Canis lupus familiaris: one gene and its partners. The protein of the gene in region 3 interacts with the protein of the main gene of each other region in a pairwise test. Links are inferred from orthologs where the notes say so. Each region holds a gene or a part of one and is shown on either strand. Other genes may lie near its edges. The genes, in order: LITAF, SPG21, REEP6, PTPN9, NDRG4 and SNX15.

What was found.
Region 1: the proteins of REEP6 (region 3) and LITAF interact in binary tests that used the Homo sapiens proteins (3 or more experiments, as listed by UniProt). The two-hybrid records come from large-scale screens. The link is inferred for Canis lupus familiaris from reciprocal best matches to the Homo sapiens genes REEP6 and LITAF.
Region 2: the proteins of REEP6 (region 3) and SPG21 interact in binary tests that used the Homo sapiens proteins (3 or more experiments, as listed by UniProt). The two-hybrid records come from large-scale screens. The link is inferred for Canis lupus familiaris from reciprocal best matches to the Homo sapiens genes REEP6 and SPG21.
Region 4: the proteins of REEP6 (region 3) and PTPN9 interact in binary tests that used the Homo sapiens proteins (3 or more experiments, as listed by UniProt). The two-hybrid records come from large-scale screens. The link is inferred for Canis lupus familiaris from reciprocal best matches to the Homo sapiens genes REEP6 and PTPN9.
Region 5: the proteins of REEP6 (region 3) and NDRG4 interact in binary tests that used the Homo sapiens proteins (3 or more experiments, as listed by UniProt). The two-hybrid records come from large-scale screens. The link is inferred for Canis lupus familiaris from reciprocal best matches to the Homo sapiens genes REEP6 and NDRG4.
Region 6: the proteins of REEP6 (region 3) and SNX15 interact in binary tests that used the Homo sapiens proteins (3 or more experiments, as listed by UniProt). The two-hybrid records come from large-scale screens. The link is inferred for Canis lupus familiaris from reciprocal best matches to the Homo sapiens genes REEP6 and SNX15.

The regions. Positions count from the first base shown.
Region 1 is NC_049227.1:31,518,755-31,522,694, reverse strand, and holds the start of LITAF (lipopolysaccharide-induced tumor necrosis factor-alpha factor), read right to left. Parts: upstream 2,801-3,940; 5' UTR 2,698-2,800; intron 1-2,697.
Region 2 is NC_049251.1:29,779,575-29,781,777, reverse strand, and holds the end of SPG21 (maspardin), read left to right. Parts: intron 1-980; coding exon 981-1,097; 3' UTR 1,098-1,703; downstream 1,704-2,203. UniProt on the Homo sapiens protein: May play a role as a negative regulatory factor in CD4-dependent T-cell activation.
Region 3 is NC_049241.1:57,835,443-57,839,454, forward strand, and holds the start of REEP6 (receptor expression-enhancing protein 6), read right to left. Parts: upstream 2,801-4,012; 5' UTR 2,730-2,800; coding exon 2,615-2,729; intron 1-2,614. Other genes in the region: PCSK4 (proprotein convertase subtilisin/kexin type 4), read left to right, coding at 3,591-3,785. UniProt on the Homo sapiens protein: Required for correct function and survival of retinal photoreceptors. Required for retinal development.
Region 4 is NC_049251.1:38,781,678-38,785,177, forward strand, and holds part of PTPN9 (tyrosine-protein phosphatase non-receptor type 9), read right to left. Parts: intron 3,335-3,500; coding exon 3,245-3,334; intron 2,546-3,244; coding exon 2,421-2,545; intron 1-2,420. UniProt on the Homo sapiens protein: Protein-tyrosine phosphatase that could participate in the transfer of hydrophobic ligands or in functions of the Golgi apparatus.
Region 5 is NC_049223.1:57,417,392-57,420,208, forward strand, and holds the end of NDRG4 (protein NDRG4), read right to left. Parts: intron 2,323-2,817; coding exon 2,275-2,322; intron 2,098-2,274; coding exon 2,062-2,097; intron 1,960-2,061; coding exon 1,908-1,959; intron 1,786-1,907; coding exon 1,711-1,785; intron 1,622-1,710; coding exon 1,353-1,621; 3' UTR 501-1,352; downstream 1-500. UniProt on the Homo sapiens protein: Contributes to the maintenance of intracerebral BDNF levels within the normal range, which is necessary for the preservation of spatial learning and the resistance to neuronal cell death caused by ischemic stress.
Region 6 is NC_049239.1:52,668,194-52,672,375, forward strand, and holds the start of SNX15 (sorting nexin-15), read right to left. Parts: upstream 2,801-4,182; 5' UTR 2,645-2,800; coding exon 2,546-2,644; intron 1-2,545. UniProt on the Homo sapiens protein: May be involved in several stages of intracellular trafficking. Overexpression of SNX15 disrupts the normal trafficking of proteins from the plasma membrane to recycling endosomes or the TGN.

The DNA of each region.
Region 1 (3,940 bases), on a different chromosome or scaffold from region 3:
TCTTCTGTTGGTGTCTTAACTAAAGCCTGTGAAACTACACACAGTTCTACTGAAGTCATGTGCACCCGAGGGACAACTATATTAGCCAAGGAAGTGTTGCCAAAGCGGCCCAAAATACCAATAGGGGTTAAAATAGTAAGAAGAAATTGCAGGGACCTAGGAAAGCACCACTCTGAGCACAAATAACAATTTTAAGGTTAAGAAAACAAGTTCAGAACAGACCAGGGCAGGCCAAGTGGGCACCGAAGACATCATCAACATGTCTGTACTAGCGACAGGCAGAGTTAAGGAGGTCTGTCTACCTGATGAGATGGACCACCTCTCCCACTGGGCTACTGTCATTGCAGTAAAAGCATAAAGAAATACAAGACAGGTTGTACGTGGTGCCAAGGCTCTAGGACTTCCTCTTATGAGCCTTCTTTCTTTCACCATCACTGTAGCTCTGGGTTAATTCATCTTTGGTGTGGGATGCCTGGGTGGCTCAGTGGTTGAGCGCCTGCCTTCGGCCCAGGGCATTATCCTGGGGGTCCTGGGATCAAGTCCCACATCAGAATCCCTGCGTTGAGGAGCCTGCTTCTCTCTCTGCCTCTCTCTCTCTCTCTCTCTCTGTGCCTCTCATGAATAAATAAATAAAATCTTTTTTAAAAAATTTCATCTTTAAAAAAAAAAATTCGTCTTTGGTGAGAGAATTTTAAGTTCCAGATGGGCACTAGCCCCTTCTTAGAGTGGTATCATACATGCCTCCATTCTGTAGGGGTGGTTAACAGCAAGAGTATGTACTGCTGATCTCTCTGAAAATTAACTTAGGTTGGGTTGGAAATGCCTTCTGGCTCCTCCCTCCAGTGGTTCCCCTTTTATGGTCCAACCCTCATCTTGTCTGTGCCTCCTCTGAAGCTTTGCCGAGACCCTTCTGTGCCTCTGGAATGCTGCTCCCCATATCCACCTGCCCCTTCTGCCACAGAAGCACAGGCCTCAGCTTTGTTACTAAACCCACTGTGACTATCCTGGCTCCTTGCTCACACCTCCCTCCTTCCCACTCCCCTCAAGATCCTTCCAGGCATTAGAAAGCACTGAATTTCTCACCTGCATGTGTCTCCATTTTCGACCCACAGTGTAGACCCCTCAGGGCCAGGAGCCATTTCTCCTGTGTCTTTTAACGGGCAAGGGTAGCACTTTGTTCCCCCACAGCCAGCCCATAAAAGGGACCGAAGGAGCAGAGGGAGGTCCACTCACCAAATTATCTAGTATTTTAGAGATCTAAGAAATTGATCCTCTGTCTCAGATCAATCACCCAAGTCACTTAATCCACAATAACACGACAGGGATACTTTTCCAAACACGAATGAAAGCACCTATTCTTGATGCCTTGAAGTAACAGGAAAGAGGGAAGATGGGCCTCCTCCATACTAGGTATTTCTTAGAGAGGCTGGTGCACATTCAGATCCCAGACAAAGGCCGGCTTAGAGTTAAGCCAAGTGCGGCATAGGGTGTTTCCATGCCAGGTAGAACCAGTCACCTGCTCTCTGGATTCTGATCCAACTATGATAAAACCAAACACGGTGGTGGAGTCCCAGATACCAGCTCATGCCTCCCTTTACAATGGCAGCCCGGTTCGTCCTATTTTAAAAGAAGTACCCTGAAAAGGCTGGGGGTGGGGGTAGGAAGGTAAGCGAGGTAGTCAAGCATATACCAACACAAGCCATGTCTTTCCTTACAAGGGCCCCAGGGGAACTGCAGGGCTAACCCGCGTTCCAGGCAGCCCCTCAACCAGCACCAGGCTACCAGGCTACGAGGCCAACCGGAGGGATTTACCCCTCTTGGGAAGCCGGGTGGGAGAGTCTAACCTGACGGGTTAGGAAGGGGAGGCCGGTGGCTTCCAGAACCCAGGTTTCCCTGAACACCAAATGTCAGTCCAAAAAGTAATGACATCCGCCCCATGAATCAGAAGCACAAAAGTGACCAGAAAACCAGTGAAGGTCCAACTGGCCTGATGCCTGGAATGTACCGCCCTTTCCAGAATATGCCCATTTCCCCATCTCCTGACCTTGACCAGGAGGTGCGGACACAACACCAACCCCACTGCCCAGGTCTGACCTGCAGAGCAGAGGGGAGCAGCTCACCTGCCAGGCCTGGCGGGGGAGGGGTGACGCCCACCTCTGCCACGGGTTCCCCAGCCCCCAGCCCGTGCCGCCAGCACCCAGCCGACCCCGGCAGCGGGCGGGCCTGGGCCACCCCTGCACTCACCCGGGGCCCCCTGACCCGCGGGGAGGCGGGCTGGCCGGCGCCACGGCTGCCTTCGCGCTCGGTCCGCTCCCCCCGGGGGCTCCCGAGGCGCCCGCGCGCCCGCAAAGGCACCGGCTCAGGATGGCGGGGGCGGCCCTTAGAAGCCGAAGGTCTGAGGCCGGCGTCCGGGAACTCTCCGGGACGATCCCAGCGCGGGCGACCGGCCCACTCGGGGGCGCAGGGCGGGAACCCAGCCCGTCCCGCGGTCGGGGAAGCCGGCGCCGGCGGGCCCCGCGCGGAACAGCTCGGCCGGACCCCTGCGCCCTCCAGCCCGCCCCGACCCCCGGGGCCCGCGCGATGCCCCGGGTCTCCCGGCGGCGGCTGCTCCCGAGCCCGGGGCCAGGGCTCACGCCGCCGAGCCCGGCCCCCGCCCGCGCCCCCGCCCGCGCCCGCCCGCGCCCGCGCTGCACTCACCGCCGCCCGCGCCGCCAGTCGAGCCGGGAGGTCTGAGCGCGCGGTGCAGCCGAGCTGCGGGGCCGGCCGAGCAGGGGGCGGGGCGATCCCAGGCTGGGGGCGGGGCCTGCCGCGCAGGGGGCGGGGCTAGTCATGGCCGGGGGCGGGGCCGGCCGAGCAGCGGGCGGGGCGATCCTTGGTTGGGGGCGGGGCCTGCCGCGCAGCGGGGCGGGGCGAGCAGGGGGCGGGCCGGGCCGAGCCGAGCAGAGCCGAGCCGAGCCGGGGCCGGCGGCGGGGCAGCTCCGGCTCCCGCCCCTCCCTGCTCCTCGCCCACCCAGCGCAGCCTGGCGGGGTCCCTGCCCGAGGTTGCCCACCCTCCGGGTTCTGCCCCTCCCCTCCGCCCCTCGGGACACCCCGCAGAGTACACCCCGACCCGGCTCACTCCCGGGACGCCCCCGCTGACCTCGGAGCCCCCCATCGTCCGGTCCTGGGTCGCCCCTTGGGGATTCCGCTCCTACAAGTCGATCCCCTCCCCTCCGCGTCCTGATTCCCGCCTCCAGCTCTCCCCGCTCCCCTAGGCCCCCCATCTCTGGCATTCCTTCCTCCTCCCTACCCTCAGGCAGCGGGGGCCCATCAGCCTCCAGTCCCAGGTCCAAGGTTGCCTGCCCTCCGCAGGGCGGCCTTTCTCTCCCCAGTGCTCAGTCCTGCACATTCAGACGCATCCACACAGCCCGAAATACTCCGTGTGCCTTTGGGCAAGTCACGCACTCCTCTGGGCCTCGGTTTCCTGTGTATAAAATGGGCATAACAGTACCTGTCTCATAAAGTCTAAGAATGCACCGAGAAGGGTTTAGCACAGATTAGGTCTTAAATAAAACCAATCTGCTGTGCTACTACTTCCTAGGCCCCCAGGGTGGTCCACCACCCCTAGGTACTTTCTCCCTGGCTAAAAGCTCTGGAAGTCTGTATCTGATCCTCTGCCCCTAAATGGGTGCTGCCTGCCTATTTGACCAGAGCCTGCCTGCTAGAGTATTAACAGCAGCCCTGATCCAGCAGGGGACTCTGAGAAGTCCTCACCAGGCATTAAGGAGCCTGTGTGGCTTTCAGAGTACAAAGTCCTGGAGATGCAAGGAACCCTAATATGGCCATCTAGAGAAATGCCACTTGGGTGAAGAGCCTATGAGCCACTCGAGAGGGATTCATAGACCTGGATCCTACTGGACCATCCTCCAGTGATAGAATCCAGCTGCCTTTACAGTGAGAC
Region 2 (2,203 bases), on a different chromosome or scaffold from region 3:
CTCAGGGAGTTGTGAGTTCAAGTCCCACATGGGGTGTAGAGATTACTTAAATATAACTTAACATATACACACGCACGCATGCACACAAACTAGCAAAAGCTGCCACTTCATCTTCTACCCAAATGGATATTAAAATAGCAGTGAGAGGGCAGCCCTAGTGGCTCAGTGGTTTAGTGCCGCCTTTGGTCCAGGGCGTGATCCCGGAGACCCAGGATCAAGTCCCACGTTAGGGTCCCTGCATGGAGCCTACTCCTCCCTCTGCCTATGTCTCTGCCTTTGTCTCTCTCTGTGTCTCTCATGAATAAATAAATAAAATCTTTAAGAAAAAATAAAATAGCAGTGAGAAATTATTGCTTTGGCAGTTCGGTAGGAAGTATCAAGAGCTTCAAAAACCAGTCACATCCTTAGGTCCTGCCATCTATTTGTGGCATGGATCCTAAGGAGAAGACCCTAAATTCAAAAAAACCTGATGCCAGGAGACATTGATCATGATCTCACACAGAACAGCAGAGGATCGGGGGAGGACCTGAGTCACAGCAGCAAAGCAGGAGGGTAAACACCCACTCACAGAGTGGTGTGCCACCCTCTGAGATGTTGATGAAGAGTTTATAGGAACTTGGAGAGACCTGTTATATATTAAATAGGGAACAAAGATCCCACATTGTGGTTTTTCAAAATACTTGACTTTTCTATGTTTTCCAGTTTTTCTCTAATTACATTATAATTTTAGAACTATAAACATTTATATGCTAGAGCACCTGGGTGGCTCCGTCGGTTGGGTGTCTGCCTTTGGCTCCGGTTGTGATCTCGGGATCCTGGGATCAAGCCCCATGTTGGGGCTCCCTGCTCAGGGGGTGTCTGCTTCCCCCTCTCCCTCTCATCTCTGCGCTCTCTCACTCTCTCAAATAAATAAATAAAACCTTTTTAAAACATTTATGTGTTACTGTGACATTTAAAATAATGATTCTGTGTTTCTACAGATCCATTTGCTACAATTCCATGGAACAAAATACGCGGCCATCGACCCGTCGATGGTCAGTGCTGAGGAACTAGAGGTGCAGAAAGGCAGCCTGAGCATCAGTCAGGAGGAGCAGTAGCTCTGTTGTCGCCTGTTGATGATGAGTGATCCAGAGAGTTCTTGTACAATCAGCTGCGTCAGCACCCGCCAGGCAGGCTCTGTTCAGTTGTCAGGCTCGCCAGTCATCACTGTGTTTGGAAGCAGGACTGATTGTCATCTTTGTGACAGGCGGCAGCTCTTCTAAGCCAGTGTGACTGTTCCCTCTGCATTTTTTTTTTTTTTTTTTAGCTTTTGAATTTGAGGAAGTACTTTTGAAGACTCTCACTTTAAGAATTGTGAAAATTTTGCTACCAAAAGTCTTCTCACCACTGTGTTCTTAAGAGAATGTTGATTTTTGAGGTTTGGGATTTTGTGGAGTTTTTTTCTTTTCTTTCCTCCTTTCTTTCTTTTTATGATATTTGCTGTAAATGCTGCACATCCAGATTGTGTATCAGAAGGACATCGGTTATTTTTATGCTTTCTTGGTTATAACCGTTATCAAGTGCCAAGGCTGTCTGTCACCCCACCGTTTGCTCTCCTACAAAATCAGCTACTTCTAATTTCCAGTTAAGCAGATCATTTTCAGTTTTATCTGTTGTCTTTCTAGCCATTACAGTCATTTGGAATAAAAATTCAATTTCAGTGAGTGGTTTTGGTGATTATTGTAGCTGCCCAACTGGACTGCATAGACATAGGACTTTCTGCAAAGCAGACCATGGGGTCATTGGCTAGTTCTTGGTGACATCAGGTAAGTGACTTACTCTCACCAAAGTGCAGTTTGCTCATTGTAAATTAACAGTAGCTCTCATTTATTGAGCTGTTAGTATGTGCCAAGTACTTTTCATACCTTCTTGTCTTCCCCTAGTGGGAATGTCTCTTAAATCTCTTTTAAACTGTAAATTATTGTTTTTGTCTTGCCATGAATTTGTTGAAGAAACAGGCTCATCTGCCCTGTAGAATTCCCCCACGGTCTCGATTTGGCTGATTGCAGCCTCACAGTGTCCTTTAACTTGTTTCTATGTCCCTGGTATTTCCCATGAACTGGTGGTTACATCTAGAGGGTCAGTTTCACATTCAGTCTTTTGGGCAGGAATACTTCATAGGCGAAGCTGTGTGTTTCCCATTATGTCACTGCAGGAGGCCCAG
Region 3 (4,012 bases):
GGCTCCATGCACCGGGAGCCCGATGTGGGATTCGATCCCGGGTCTCCAGGATCGCGCCCTGGGTCAAAGGCAGGCGCCAAACCGCTGCGCCACCCAGGGATCCCAGGCCCTGAGAGGTACAGAGTAGCTGTTTGTTGAACGAGTAAGTGACCATCCGCCAGTATAAGCGCCCTGCTCAGGTCCCATGGGAGGGGCTGGGCACCAGAGACCGGCGTCCGAATGAAAGTCACGGGAGAAAAACCCAAAAGTAAGGCCATTCTGTCATCCGGGCTGGATTCCCAGTAGCAGGGAAAGGCAACATTTGTGACTTTGATCTCAATGGAGTTTTTCATCCTCACCACTGCGGACAATCGGGGCAGGATCATCTTCGGTGGGGACGTCCTGGGCCCTGGGGTGCCAGGCAGCATCCCTGGCCCCCAGCCCCCGATGCCAGGAGCACCCCCAGTCGTGACAGCCACCAACGTCCCCAGTCACTGCCCGGTGTCCCGAGAGGGACAGCATGGCCCCGTGTAAGGACCCTTGTCTTAGCACAAGACAGCTTAGCACAGAGCCCGCTGCTTTCCCACCTGCCGCACAACACGGAGCAGCCTCAGTTTCCCCATCTGTCAATGGAGTGGTAATAGCCCTGTCTCCCAAGGTTGCTGTGGCGATAGCTAAATACCACTCAGCTCTACGCGTTTCCCGAGCACCCTCTAGGCACACACATGCTTTCCCAGTGGTAAATGAGGGCTCAGAGAAAACACCCCTGGGGGAGGCAGGGAACCAGGAGCACGAGCCACTCTGAAAGCAATGATGGTAAATACTGCATTTATTAAGTGCTTCTGGTGTGCAGGTCCCTGCACTTCCTCGCTGTAGCCCACTCAATGGCCAGAACACACTGGAAACTGGGGGAGTGAGACCCAAGGTCACTCAGAGAGCCTCTGGGCTCCTGGGAGTACTTTACAGCCTCCAGCCTCCTCCCCCAGGCTGTTATCTGCAGAGACAGAGGGCACTGGTGTGCCAAAGGGCAGAGTCACCCCCACCCTTCCCCCCACCTGCGTTGGTCTTTATCCCTAGGGCCTGGGGTCAGGGGAGGGAGGGGAGCCTCCCCAGTGGGCCCTAGGAGGTCTGGTCACCGTCTCTGCTGGGTTTCATCTATTGCTGTCCGGGCTGGGAATCTGATCATTTGGGGCAGCTGGGGCCCAAGAGGTCCCACATCTGGATGGGGGGGAAAGTTCTGGTTGGGAGGAGCAGCTTTCCTAGGGCACTTCCCCCCTCAATCCTTATTCCTGCAGCCTCAGCAATGGGTGGATGACCTTGGACATGGGGGGAGCACGCTCTCTGAGATCAGCAACAGATGGAGCTGGGGGGGCAGATGGAGAGGTGAGGAGGGAGGGGTGGATGCTCCAGACAGGGCAGGTGGCAGAGGCAGCCTCCCACGAAGCTCCTGACGCTAGAGGAGGGCCTCAGTTTCTTCCCTGTGACTCTCAGCTTCCCCAGGAGGCCCCTCCCCCCACTGCCCTATGACCTAGAGTCCCTGCCTCCAGGTACCAGGGATGTGGAAACGCGCAGAGAAGCCAGGGCAGGTTCCTGGCTGAGCTGACCTGCCCTGACACCGCAGGCCCCGGGAAGCAAAGCACCGGCCTTCCCTGGGCCGCTGGGCACGGGATCCCCTCTGGGGGAAATGGGAGGAAAGAGGACTCCCAGGATCTGCACACAGAGGTGTTCAGGACACACACCCTGTCCTCACCCAAAGCCCCCCTGCCACGTCTGGACAAAGTGTCCCTGTGATGCACCCCGGGTGTGTGTGTGGGGGTGGCTGCAGAACTGACGGGCCTGGTACACGGGAAAAGAGGGGAAGGAGGCATTTGAGGAGTGCTTCCCAGACAGTCTGGGACACTGGCAGGGGCCCCCCAAGGTCACCGAGGAGGAAAGGAAGAGGAGGGGTCCTGGAATGGTTATAGTCAGGAGTCCCGCTCCCCGGCTGTTGGGGCTCCTCTCTACACTCCCGCATCCACTACCCCTCCAGCCCCGTCACAGCCTCAGACAACCCAACCCAAGTATTCACGCACAGTGGGCCAAAGCCGTGGGGGGGGGTGGGCTCGCAGGAAACGGGAGGGAAGAGACGTGGGGGAGACCCTCCCGCCCCAGCAGGATGCTCCACTTGCTTCCAGGCTGGGATCCTTGTGGGACGGGGTGGCAAGACTCCAGGGCACTGGCCGCCTACCCGCCACCCTCTCCTCCCCCAGGGCGGACACAGCAACTGGAAGAACCGGACTTCGGCCTGGCGGTCACCCAGGGCCAGCAGGGAAGGGGCAGCGGCGGCCTGCGGCCAGACCCGAGGGTGGGAGTGGAGGTAATGCAGGGGCCGAGAGAGGGGGTGACACTCGCCCGAGATCGCACGACGAGGGCAGAGGACAGGCTGCTGGCAGACGCGAGGTCCTGGCGCACGACCCCTCCCCAGCATCTCCGTCTGTCTCCCTGCTGGACGGTGAGGTGCGCCCCGCCGTCCGAGCCCGAGCCCCGCAGAAGGCGCCGGCCGCGAGGGGTCGGGACCGGGGCCCCGGCGCCCCAGGGCCTCAGTGTGCCGGTCGGCGAAATGGGGCAGCAGTCCCGAGCGCCCCGGACGGCTCACCCGCGGCCAAGTACCGCTTGTCGACACCTGTCTTGGCTTCGAGAGCCCCCAGCGCTTCGGTGACCAAGTTCCTCTGTTCCAGAAGGTGCTCGAAGCGCTGGCGCAGGCCGTCCATGGCACCGGCGGGCCCGGGGCTGGCAGCCCGAGCTCGACCGCGGCCCCGCGCACCGGCCCCGCCGCGCGCGTGCCTCCGTCCCGCGGCGCGAGCAGCCCCGCTCCGCCCCCAGGCTGGTCTCCGCCCCCTGCCCCCCGCCCCGGCCAATGGGAGGGCAGGGCGGACAAAGGAGGTGGGGCCTGCCCCGCCTCCCCCGCCGCATTGCCCTCTGGCGGGCCGCGGCCGCCGCAGCCGCGACTCCGGGGGCAGTGGGCGGGGCGCCGCGGCTGAGCGCGCCGATTGGCGGACGGGCCGGGACGTGGGCGGAGCAAGGGGCGGGGCCACGGCCGGGGATTATTGGCTGAGCCGCCGTGGGGGCGGAGCCTCTGGCGGGAGGACCCGAGAGAGGCCGGAGCTGATTGGCGAGGGCAGGGGAGGGGCGGGGCTGATCATAAAGGAGGAGGCAGCCTCTCGGGGCAGGGGGTTGGGGCGCCCCGAGTCCGGGAGGCGGGACTTACTGGGACGCGCTAGTCCGCCGGCGCCGGGCAGGAGGCAGGGCTGACTCTCGGGGGCGGGGCCGAGGAGAGCCGCGGCGACCCGGCTCCTCTGGGTCGGGAGAGCGGGTCACCGTCCAGGTCGGGGACACTGAGGCTGCAGACGGCTCGGGTCTGCGGAGGCCCCGGGCGGCCGTGGGCGCCCCCCGACTCGGGCCGGATCTTCGCGCCCCTCAAGGGGGAGCCGCAAGGCCCCCTGGGAGTTGAAGCCTTCCTGGGGTTGCTATGGCCCCGGGGGCGGGGCGGGCGCCTGGGCCGACTCGGCGGTTTGCCCAGGGGGAGGGGCTTTCGGAGGCCCCGGCCCGGCCCCGCCCCCGCCGCCGCCGCCATGCGGCCCGCCCGGACTGCGCTCTGGCTGCGCCTAGCCCTGGCCCTGGGCCTGGCCCTCGTTGGCCCCCTGCCTGTGGGGTGGTCCTCGGCCCGGGCCCCCATCTATGTCAGCAGCTGGGCCGTGAGGGTGTCCCAGGGTTACCGGGAGGCCGAGCGCCTGGCGCGCAAATTCGGCTTCGTCTACCTGGGGCAGGTGGGTGGGACCCGATGGACAGGAGGGGCGGGGCCTGGACGACCCCAGACCCCGGCAGACGGGAGGGGTACTCAAGATGTCCAGAAGCCCCAGCCCACCCCTGCCTCGACCAGCTTCAGATTCTGGGGCCTCTGGGGGGCGACCGAAGCCCCCACCTGGGCACCTGGTTGGGGGGGAAGCAAGCCAGAGGTGTTGGCCTGTCCTGGGGCACTCCATGTCGGAGCCAG
Region 4 (3,500 bases), on a different chromosome or scaffold from region 3:
TCTATATTCCTAAAAATCGCTCATCCTGTAAAGAAATGCACATGAAATAAATACAAATGTGGTAGGATCTTTGTTTTTCTGCATACAGAATGAGGTTTACAATGATAGATAATTCCTTACTAAGAATAATTGTTTTCCTATTGAGTTTGATTCCTAAGTTGGATGCTACCTGGGAACATCAAGATGTTTAAAACAAATGTCCTTGACATTTGTTTCAAAATGATTGAGGGGGGGATCCCTGGGTGGCGCAGTGGTTTGGCGCCTGCCTTTGGCCCAGGGCGCGATCCTGGAGACCCGGGATCGAATCCCACGTCGGGCTCCCGGTGCATGGAGCCTGCTTCTCCTTCTGCCTATGTCTCTGCCTCTCTCTCTCTCTCTCTCTGTGTGACTATCATAAATAAATAAAAATTAAAAAAAAAAAAATGATTGAGGGGGGGATCGGGATCACCCCAGTGGTTTAGCGCCTGCCTTCGACCCAGGACGTGATCCTGGAGACCCGGGATCAAGTCCCACATCGGGCTCCCTGCATGGAGCCTGCTTCTCCCTCTGCCTGTGTCTCGGCCTCTCTCTCTCTCTCTGTCTCTCATGAATAAATAAATAAAATCCTTTAATAATAATAATAATAATAATAATAATAATAATAATAATAGCCGTTAGGGGTGCCTGGGTGGCTGAGTCGGTCTGCCTTTAGCTCAGGTCATGATCTCAAAGTCTTGAGATCAAGTCCCACTACCTGCTTATGGGGAGTCTGCTTCTCCCTTCCGCTTTGCCCCCCTACTCGTGCTCTCATGTGCTCTCTCTCTCCAATAAATAAGATCTTAAAAAAAAGATAACTGCTGTTAAAGTCAGACTAAAAAGAATTTTATTTATAACAGGTGGGAGGAGTGAGGAACCCAGTCATAGAAAGTTGACCATTAAAGAAAGGGATTTAGAAAAGAGAAGGAAACCTTCCTCTTTTATCCCAGTGAGGAGAGGGTTTCCTTCTCTTCTATCTTGGTGAAAGTTAACACAGGAAAACAAAAATTTCTGCTCACTAGTGAGAATATTTTGCTTAGAGAAAAGGCTTCATGTTTATTTATCTTATATGCACCTTCTGAATAATGGGGAGTCACTAAGGGTTTTCAAGAAAAGGGTGGACATCATGAAAACAGTTTGAAGTATGTTTACCTGTGTGGTCTTCCTGTGGGATCCAATCAATACTCACACTGGAAAGAGCAAGCTTTGACCACTGCCATGCCTATAGGAGGGCTCTGACTGTAAGCTGCCCAAGAAGGAAGGCCAGTGAATTTTCTGGTAAAGGAGCCTTTCATTTATTCTCCTGAGCTAACGCATTTCAAAGGAACCTATGATCTGGAAATTATGTCTGAAGACCAATCATAGGCATAATTGGCAAGAAGAAATGAGAAATTTCACACTTCTGATTGGGCAGTACACGGCCCCTGTGACCACTGGTCCTCTCCTTCCCTTAGTAACTTCTCTTTTTCAGAATAATGCTGTATAAATACTATGGAAGTAACATTAACAAGTGAATTAGACAGAGAGGCCCACTTTGGACATCGTTTGGCTCTCTGCACCCTCTAAGTCCACAGTATGACTAAAGTTGTGCACAGCTATCTTTCACTATCTTAGGTTTCAGCCTTAAATATATCATTTCCAACCCATGGAAAGAGCCATGGGACTAGCCAATGACATCCAGTACGATAACAAACTGTAAATGGCAATCACCAGGGAATAAAGGAAGTATGGCAAAAGGACAACATAATAGGGTACAAACAGCTCTGGCTAAGAGCAAAGAAACTAGGATCTTAGGCCTAACTGGACTGATATGTGATGACTGTAACAGTCAGGCTTTGGTTTCTTTGCCCATAAAAGATCATAATACCATTTATCTTGTAGAAGGAAGGAGAAATGACCTGAGCTGATTCTTTTTGCTCATTGGTCTGTTTATAAAGATGATTTTGCTTAACTTTGTACTTTTGGGCCATTCTCTCCTGAATGTTGATTCTCAAAATCCTGAATTAAATGGCATTATTTTTATATTACAAACATACCAAGGTTCCAGAGTGTTTTGAAAATCAAAATTCAGGGCAAATGAGCAAAAAGCCAGTACATGTCATTTCCCCTTCACTTTCTCTCAATAAGTAATTCTCAATACACTGAGGATAATTAGTTAATTGGTTTTCTCAGCTTCTGTGATCCTAAAATAGAGCCAAGCAGGTAAAGATATAGAATACCCACCATCTTGATAGTACCTGGAAATATGCCAAGCCCTTAAGGACATGGAATGTTTTCTATTCATAGCATTTCCCAGGGCACATCCTAGAAGCATGGCGAAGGCACTGCTGAGTTCATCAAGTTAGTCAAGGACTATACTTCCCTATCTGGATGCAGACCAACTAAAAGGTAATCATCATGCTCACCTATCCACAGCTCTGTCTAGCAAGTAAAACAGAGCCTGAAGTACCACATGTTGGACTGACTTGTGAGGATGATGCAATCTGGCAGTGAAGAGAGCAATAGAAGCTCCTGTTGGGTCCCGAACATTCTAGAGCAAATCAAATGAGAAACATTTATAAACTAAATAGAGAATCACAACAATCACAGAGGCATCTTATATCCTAGATAAAAATTTCACACAGAGAGAAGAGATGCTGGCAATACTTCTCTGACCTGCATCAGTTGCTCCAGGAAGGGAAGAAAGCTTATTTCATCCCACTCCTGATTCTTAGCACCCCCTGGATCGTATTAGTTTGGCAGGAAAAAAACTACATTCTCTTAACTTGTCAATTGCAGAGAGATTAAAGGATGGTCTACACTTGCTGCCTAGCTAATTTCCCAGGTAGGATGGCAAAACACACAGCAGGGGGAAACCACGGAAGACAACCATGGTTTCCACGCTCTGCCTTAAAAGTAGCGTCGTATACTTATTCAAAAGGCTGTGGTCTCTAGGTGGAGAGAACTTGACTCCAATAAGGACGGGCCTCTGAAATACTACATACGCACCTAAAGACCCTCACTAACAATGGACCAATGAAGAAACTTTGCTCGATATACTGTACAACTGATTCTCAATAATTTCATTTGTTACTAGAATAATTTTGTGCAAACTGCACAGCTGCTTTATGTCTGCTCTTGAATGTTGACACTCTCTAGATTTAGGATAAGGTATCTAGGAACAAAATCCAAAGAGGACAACAGCTACAAAGGGAAATAATGAGAACAAGAAGGGTACATAAAGACTCACTAAGATGGTGAATTTCCCACTAAGGATCTCAGAACGGAGAGGTTCCTCATGAGGTTTCAGCTTCACAATGCCTTCCTTCCTTCGTGTTTCCTAAAAATAAAACATAGCAAGATAAATTAAAGTGAAAATACTGTGTATCGAAGACAGCTCTATGTAACCATCAAATCTCAGAGATAAGGGACTTTATTTATTTTTTTTTCTAAGTCCACCTTTATTTATTTATTTATATGATAGTCACAGAGAGAGAGAGAGAGAG
Region 5 (2,817 bases), on a different chromosome or scaffold from region 3:
TTGGACTTTGACAAGACTCCTGAGAGCAAGCTCAGGTGGGCAAGCTCCACCTTCCTGGACTCAACTGGCCACCCATTCGGCTCAGGCATGGCTGGGCACCCTTGCCCCTGTGGCCAGGCCCGGGCAGTACCTCTGAGAGGCTCTGGTTCCAACAGCCTGAGCTGTGGAAGCCACGTGGCCCATGGCAACCCAGAAACCAGACTGCTCTAAACCCCACCCAAGCCTCATGTGGGATGCAGCCCACTTGGCCCAGGATCAGTGAAAAAGCAGGACGCTCTTGGGCTTTGGAGGCGAGCAGGACATAAGAGAGTTCCCAACCACAGCAAGATGAGGCCCGGCTGCAGCACCACACAGAGGCAGGAGCAGGGGGGACTGGGGCGGGGGTCCATGCATCAGGGGAGGGGCCACAGGGCTACCTGCTCCTCCACTCAGCCTTCGGTCCTTCAAGTATGCAACTAAGAGAGAAGACAGAGCCAGAGGGGCGGGGCGGGGCAGGGTGGGGCGGGGGGAGACACAGAACATGGGTGAAGAGTGTGATCCGGCAAGGCCGGGGTGTTGCAATGGGTCGGAGAGAGAAGACGACAAGACAGCAGGCACAGAGTGGGCTAGGGCAGGCCCAGAGCCTCAGGAAGCCCACCCCTGCCACCCACCAGAGTAGCAGCCCCGGAGGGAACCCTGACACCACAGTGGGGGCAATCCTCTTGCCCCCTCTTCTCCAGCCTGGGCTGCAGCGCTGAGGGCCTTGTGTTGACAGGGCTTTCTGGGGCCCATATCTGAGTGCCAGCACCTGCACCCTTCTGGATCTGTCTCCCCAGGTACAAAATGGGGGAGGCCTGCACCAGCTCCTAAATCCTGCCCACCTCTTGGGCTGCCTGGTGGTATTTCTCCCAGGGCCTTGAGCATATGTCCCAGCCCAACAAGCATTGCTCATCTCCTCATCTCACAGGTGTTCACTGAGAGCCCCCTGGGCTCAGGCCCAACCTCTGAGTTCCCACTGTGTCCCACCGCTAGCTTCGGCCTCTCTCTGCCCCACTTTTTCACAGAGAGGGAGCGCCTCTCCTGGCTGGGCCCCCAGCCTTCCCCTGCAGGCCTTCCAAGGAGGCACAAGCTCCAGGGACTGAGGTCTGGGTGGAGAGATATTCAGGTAGGGGAGTTCTGCTTCCAGCGGGAGGGCCAGGTATGTTCGGGAAAGGGGAGGAATCAAGTTGATAAGGTGTGAGTGTGCTTGCGTGCATGTGTGTATGTGTGCGTGGGTTTTGGAGGTGCTCTTGAGCAATCTGGGTGGCTCATCCCTGCACAAGAGGTGGTTTGGAGAGGGGAGGAGAGTGGGCATTGCCACCCCACAGCCCCTATCATTTTGGGGTCTTCACATATGCTACCCCCAGGCTCAGCTGCCTTCGGCTCTCTCCAAACACCCAGATGGCCCCACGCGCCTTTGTCAGGCCCCAGACTTCAAGACCACTCTGCTGCCCCTGGGACCATCCACCACTTGTGACAAAAGCCCTTCTCAAGTGCTGTAGGTCTGGCAGGGGAATGGGTGGTGTGTATGACTCACCTTTAGGTAGCCTTTCTGGGCAGGCCCCCACCCCAGGCTCTGGTCCCCCAGGCCTGGAAAAAGAGCCTACCATTTCAACATTGCCATGAGAACGTGTCCCACAGCCTCCCCAAGGGCATGGGAGAGCCAGACACAGCCTGGGATCATCTACTCACAACTCAGGTGGAGGTGCCCTAGAGAGTCTCCAGTCATAGTGGGGAGCATGTGGTGAGTGGCACAGCATCTGGGCCCTGCTGACACAGATCTCATATGCCCCCAGGCTGCTTGGTGTCACCTGCTGCTGCTGGTGCCAGTCCCACTCTGCCCCCTGCCCACCAGTCCCCAGGGCAGGGGCAGGGGGAAGTTAACTTACTGTAGCCCATGCCTTGCAGGAAGTATTTGAAGGCCTCAGTCAGCTTCCCTGGCTGCAGGACAGAGGGACAGTCACATGCTTTGATTGGCTGCCTGGGATTGGGGGGAGGGGAGGCTCCTCCCACCTGGGCTAAGATGAGGGAGAGAGGGCTCACCTGTGTGACCTGGGGGAGCCCCCCGGAATCTGCCATCTGCAGGGAAAAGAGGGGGGTGAGCTGGGCAGGGGTCCCCCCACACCTTGCCCAGGCCACCCTGAGCAGACACACTGTCCTGCTCCCTCCTGCCTGCCCTAGGACCCCAGGCAGGCCCCTCCCTGAGGCTGGGCCCTTGTCTGGGGAGGAAGTGGAGGAAGGGGAGGAAGGTCTCACCTTCAGGAAGGTAGTGGTGGTTGGGTCCAGTTTGGAGTTGCACTCCACCTAGGGATAAGGTCAACACAGTAAGGCAGCCCCAGCCCCATATCCAGGGAGCCCCCCACCCCAGTCACTAAGGCAGGGTCTGTTGCCAGGCCCGGAGACTGTACTGGGGAGGTTCAGCGTGCAGGGGGCAGACACAGGTGGCAACGCAGCCCTGGCTGAGGCTGCCCCTCACCAGGCTGCCTTCCCAAAGTCCAAGCCTCTGCAGGTAAGGGAGCAGCCCTTAAGGGCCCTGAGACCCCTGGACTCCCACCCATGGCTGCTGGCAGGGTAGGCCTGGGGCAGGGGCAGGGGCTGGGCCAGCTCCTCATGGGGAGCCAGGGGCCCCCTTGGTGGGAGTGGCTGAGGAAGACCCAGGGACCACAGGGGTCAGGCGGTGAGGTGGGGGAGGGCCAAGCATCGGCAGGAGGCTGAGGCCTGCGCCTGGACAGCACAGCCCACACCCCATTCCCAAGCCCTCAGACATAGGGAAGGCATACTAGTTTCTGTACACATTGG
Region 6 (4,182 bases), on a different chromosome or scaffold from region 3:
CTAGGTACATACTAAGAAAATATGGGTGCACATGTCCATAAAAAGAATTGCACATGAATGTTCATACAACTCGTAACAACTAAACATTAAAAAAAACAAAACAGAAAACATTTTTTTAGACATAACCTAGAAGTCTAGTAACAAGAAAATTAATAAAGAAATGGTGGTATATTTATACAAGGGGCTACCATCACATGGCAATAAAAAAGAACAAACTACTTCAACACGCAACAACATGGATAAACTCCAAAAAACATTATATAGAGAAGGAAAAAGGCCCGACACAAGCGAGTACTTGCTGTGTATATGATTTCATTTGTATGAGGCTCAAGAACAGACAAAAGTAATCTAGGGGAACAGAAGTCAGGACAACGGTTACCTCTCTGAGAGGAGGACTATAGATGAGAAACGTACAAAGAAACTCTCTGGGGGAGGGAAATGTCTATATCCTGATCTGAGCACTGCCAGTGCAGATGTATCCATATACAAAAATTATTGAGCTATACACTTAGGATCTACGTGCATTACTTACATAAATTATGTTGTGGAATTTTAAAAAATATTTTATTTATTTATTCATGAGAGACACACACACAGAGAGGCAGAGGCATAGGCAGAGGGAGAAGCAGACTCCATGCAGTGAGCCAGATGTGGGACTCGATCCTGGGACTCCAAGATCATGCTCTGGGCGTGAGGGTAGGCGCTCAACCTCTGAGCCACCCAGGCGTCCCTGTTTTGGTTTAGAAAATTTACAAGGCGAAACAACAAAAAACTGAGGAATACCAGCAAGTGACCGGTGAGACTGTGTGTAAATAATAAACTAGGTACACATAACTGCTTTTAAATATAAGGTTTATATGCAAGGATAAAGAAGGACATAGTGGCATTAATTCTCACCAAGATGGCAGATGAATGGGGATGGTAAAAGAGGGAAAATTACTTCTCTTTAAAAGTTATAATAAAAACATATCAAAGTAATGAATGTTTAAAAACTAACAGAAAGGGATCCCTGGATGGCGCAGCGGTTTGGCGCCTGCCTTTGGCCCAGGGCGCGAATCTGGAGACCCGGGATTGAGTCCCACATCGGGCTCCCGGTGCATGGAGCCTGCTTCTCCCTCTGCCTGTGTCTCTGCCTCTCTCTCTCTCACTCTCTCTCTCTCTGTGACTATCATAAATAAATTAAAAAAAAAAAAAACCAACAGAAAGATTTATCAGAAAAGAGTACAGTCCCTGGCCACCCTCCAGTCTAGTCTTCTTAGGGACTATCTTTCTGCATGTGTGTCTTGTTTTTATTTGACAAGGAAAAGACATAAAAGAAATAGGGAAAGTTCCTTTTAAACATCTAGGATTCTGCACCTAAATCACTTTGCAACTTCCCCTTAATAGTTATTAATGTACCATTTAATAGTCGCCTAATTAAAAATTCTTTTTTTTTTTTTAAGATTTTATTTATTTATTCATGAGAGCCACACAGAGAGGCAGAGACATAGGCAGACGGAGAAGCAGGCTCCCTGCGGGGGAACCCGATGGGGGATCCGATGTGGGGCCTATCCCAGGACCCTGGCATCACTGGCATCACAACCTGGGCCAAAGGCAGATGCTCAACCACTGTGCCACCCAGGTGCCTCTAGTTTAAAATTCTAAAAGTAATAAACAATTTACAGTGAAAAGTCTCCCCCAACCAGCTCTCCTATATATCATTCTGCAGATACTCTTTTACACTGTTTTTTAAATCCTTCTCGTGGTTCCCCCTATGTATCTGTAAAATGTGCCTATAACGTTGTTACTGCTCCATAATCAACTTCACTTTCTGTCTTCCAGCTCTGACTGCGAAGCTGCAGACCGACTTACTCTTTTTTTTTTTTCTGACTTACTCTTTAAAATTCTCTTTGAGCTGTAAGGATTTTTATTTTTAATTTTTATTTATTTATGATAATCACAGAGAGAGAGAGAGGTAGAGACACAGGCAGAGGGAGAAGCAGGCTCCATGCACCGGGAGCCCGATGTGGGATTCGATCCCGGGTCTCCAGGATCGCGCCCTGGGCCAAAGGCAGGCGCCAAACCGCTGCGCCACCCAGGGATCCCTAAGCTGTAAGGATTTTTAAAGTCATAGAGTTTTTTTGAAAGAAAATTAAAAATTAAACTAAAGAAAAAAAAGGGCTTTTATGTTAATATCAAACCAAGCGGTTCACACAAACCTAATCCAAGAAACTGGAGAACTAACATTTGCACGGAGCCAGAGTTTCCGTGCTAATTTGAAGAAATTCACAGCCCGCAGTGCTGACGCCACACGTAGGGCGTGGGAACCCGCCCCTCCCACTCCAAGAACTACGGTCCAAGCCCTTTTAAAAGGACAGCGCCCTCCCAGGGCCGCTCCACTGGACCGCTCCGAAGTAAGCCGGGGCTCTACCCGCAGGCTCCCCTTAAAGGGGAAATCCATTTCTGTCGTCTAAAAAGGGAGCGACCAGCGGCGCCTTGCCTTAAGGTAAAACACTGCCCCACCTCTTGTTAAAAGGGTAAAGGTCCCCACCCGGGCCCACCTCACCTGCGCGGTCACTTTATACTCGGTGTAGCCCTTGGGGTGGGTCCGGGGGTCCGAGACTGTGTAGTGTCGCAGGAAGTCGTCCTTCGCCTGGCGGGACATGGCAACCGAGCTGGAGTGGGGCTGACCGCCGGCCTCTGCCTCCTCAACGCCGCCCCCGCCCCTCCAGGTCAGTCTCCGCCGGGCCCCGCATCTCCCAGGCCTGCGCCCTTCTTCCTCGAGCCTAGGGAGCGGGTCGCAAGTGACGGCGCAGTCCTTGGCCTTGGCGTGCGGCCAGGGAGCGTCTAAAAAGTTCTCGGTGGCGGGTAAGGCGTGAACTAGGTAGTTTAAGAGATAAGAACCCGGGAGGTGGGGGAAAAAAAAAAAAAAAAAAAAAAGAACCGGGGAGGTGGGATCACTTAGCTGACAGGTGCTCGAGCTTTCCCCATCAAACGTGTCCAAACGACTTCTCCTATGCTTTCTGGTCCCCTTCGTTCATCCACTCACCCAACTTTTATTGTGCCGAGTGTGTGGCAGATGTAGCCAAATCATTTCCCTGTTTCCTTCCGTAGGATTCGCTAATTCATGTTTTCTGCAAGGGTAGGGGAAGCAAAAAAGAGCTCCAGAGAAGAGGATGGCCTCACAGGTTCTGAAGTCACACTTCTTACCAGTTGTATGAGTTTCCCTTAACTACCTGAGCTTAAGTTTCTCCTCTCTAGAACGTTTATAATGTTTCTAATAGAATCTACTGCAGTGGATGTTTCTTTCTTTCCCCTCCTGGTCTGTCCAGCATTCACCCCCACCTCTCTGTTAGCACCATATCTTTGTTTGGAGGTAGTTCTCTAATAGGTATAGCCCATCAGCCTCCTACTCCTGGAATCCAAAGGTGCCAGCTCCTTTCCTTGCCCCAAGTCCTGGGTAGGGGAGGAGGACTCTCCCCAGAAGCCTAATTCTTGAGTTTCTTGAGGGAGAAACAGAGTGCACAGTGCCTAGCAAGGGGACTGATTTGTTCATGATGTGCAATGCTGGCTGTGGGCTCAGCTGCCCAGCCTCTGGGCACCCTGTTTGTCAAACCTGATGTCTGGCATCCTGAGAGCTCCATCAGGATGCTGTCCCAAATCAGCGTTAGTATCTTAGTATCTTCCCAAGACCATCCTTTCTGCGGAAGGCAGTTGTGATCATTTCTGGGACAAGCTGTTGAGGACTCTGATGGATACCACCACAGCCAGGTTGTGAAGTTTAAAAGTGATAGCGTGGGTGAAGCGCTCAAGTGCTCACGGCCGCTCTTATGGTGGGCACCGTACTGCCAGTTTCCAGAAAGAGACAAAGGAAACTCCCAAATGAGACGGGTGGAAGCTCAGACATAGGGTAGATTATCCAGGAGGTGTTTGGGAGGAGACTTAGATGGGGTGGTGTCCCCTTGAACAACACACACCTCTAGAGATCCCTTTTATTTTTATTTTTTTAATTTTTAAAAAAAGATTTTATTTATTTATTCATGAGAGACAGAGAGAGAGAGGCAGAGACACAGGCAGAGGGAGAAGCAGGCTCCACGCAGGGAGCCTGATGCGGAACTTGATCCCGGGTCTCCAGGATCACACCCTGGGCCGAAGGCGGCGCTAAACCGCTGCCCGTAGAGGCCACTTATAGACATTATTTTT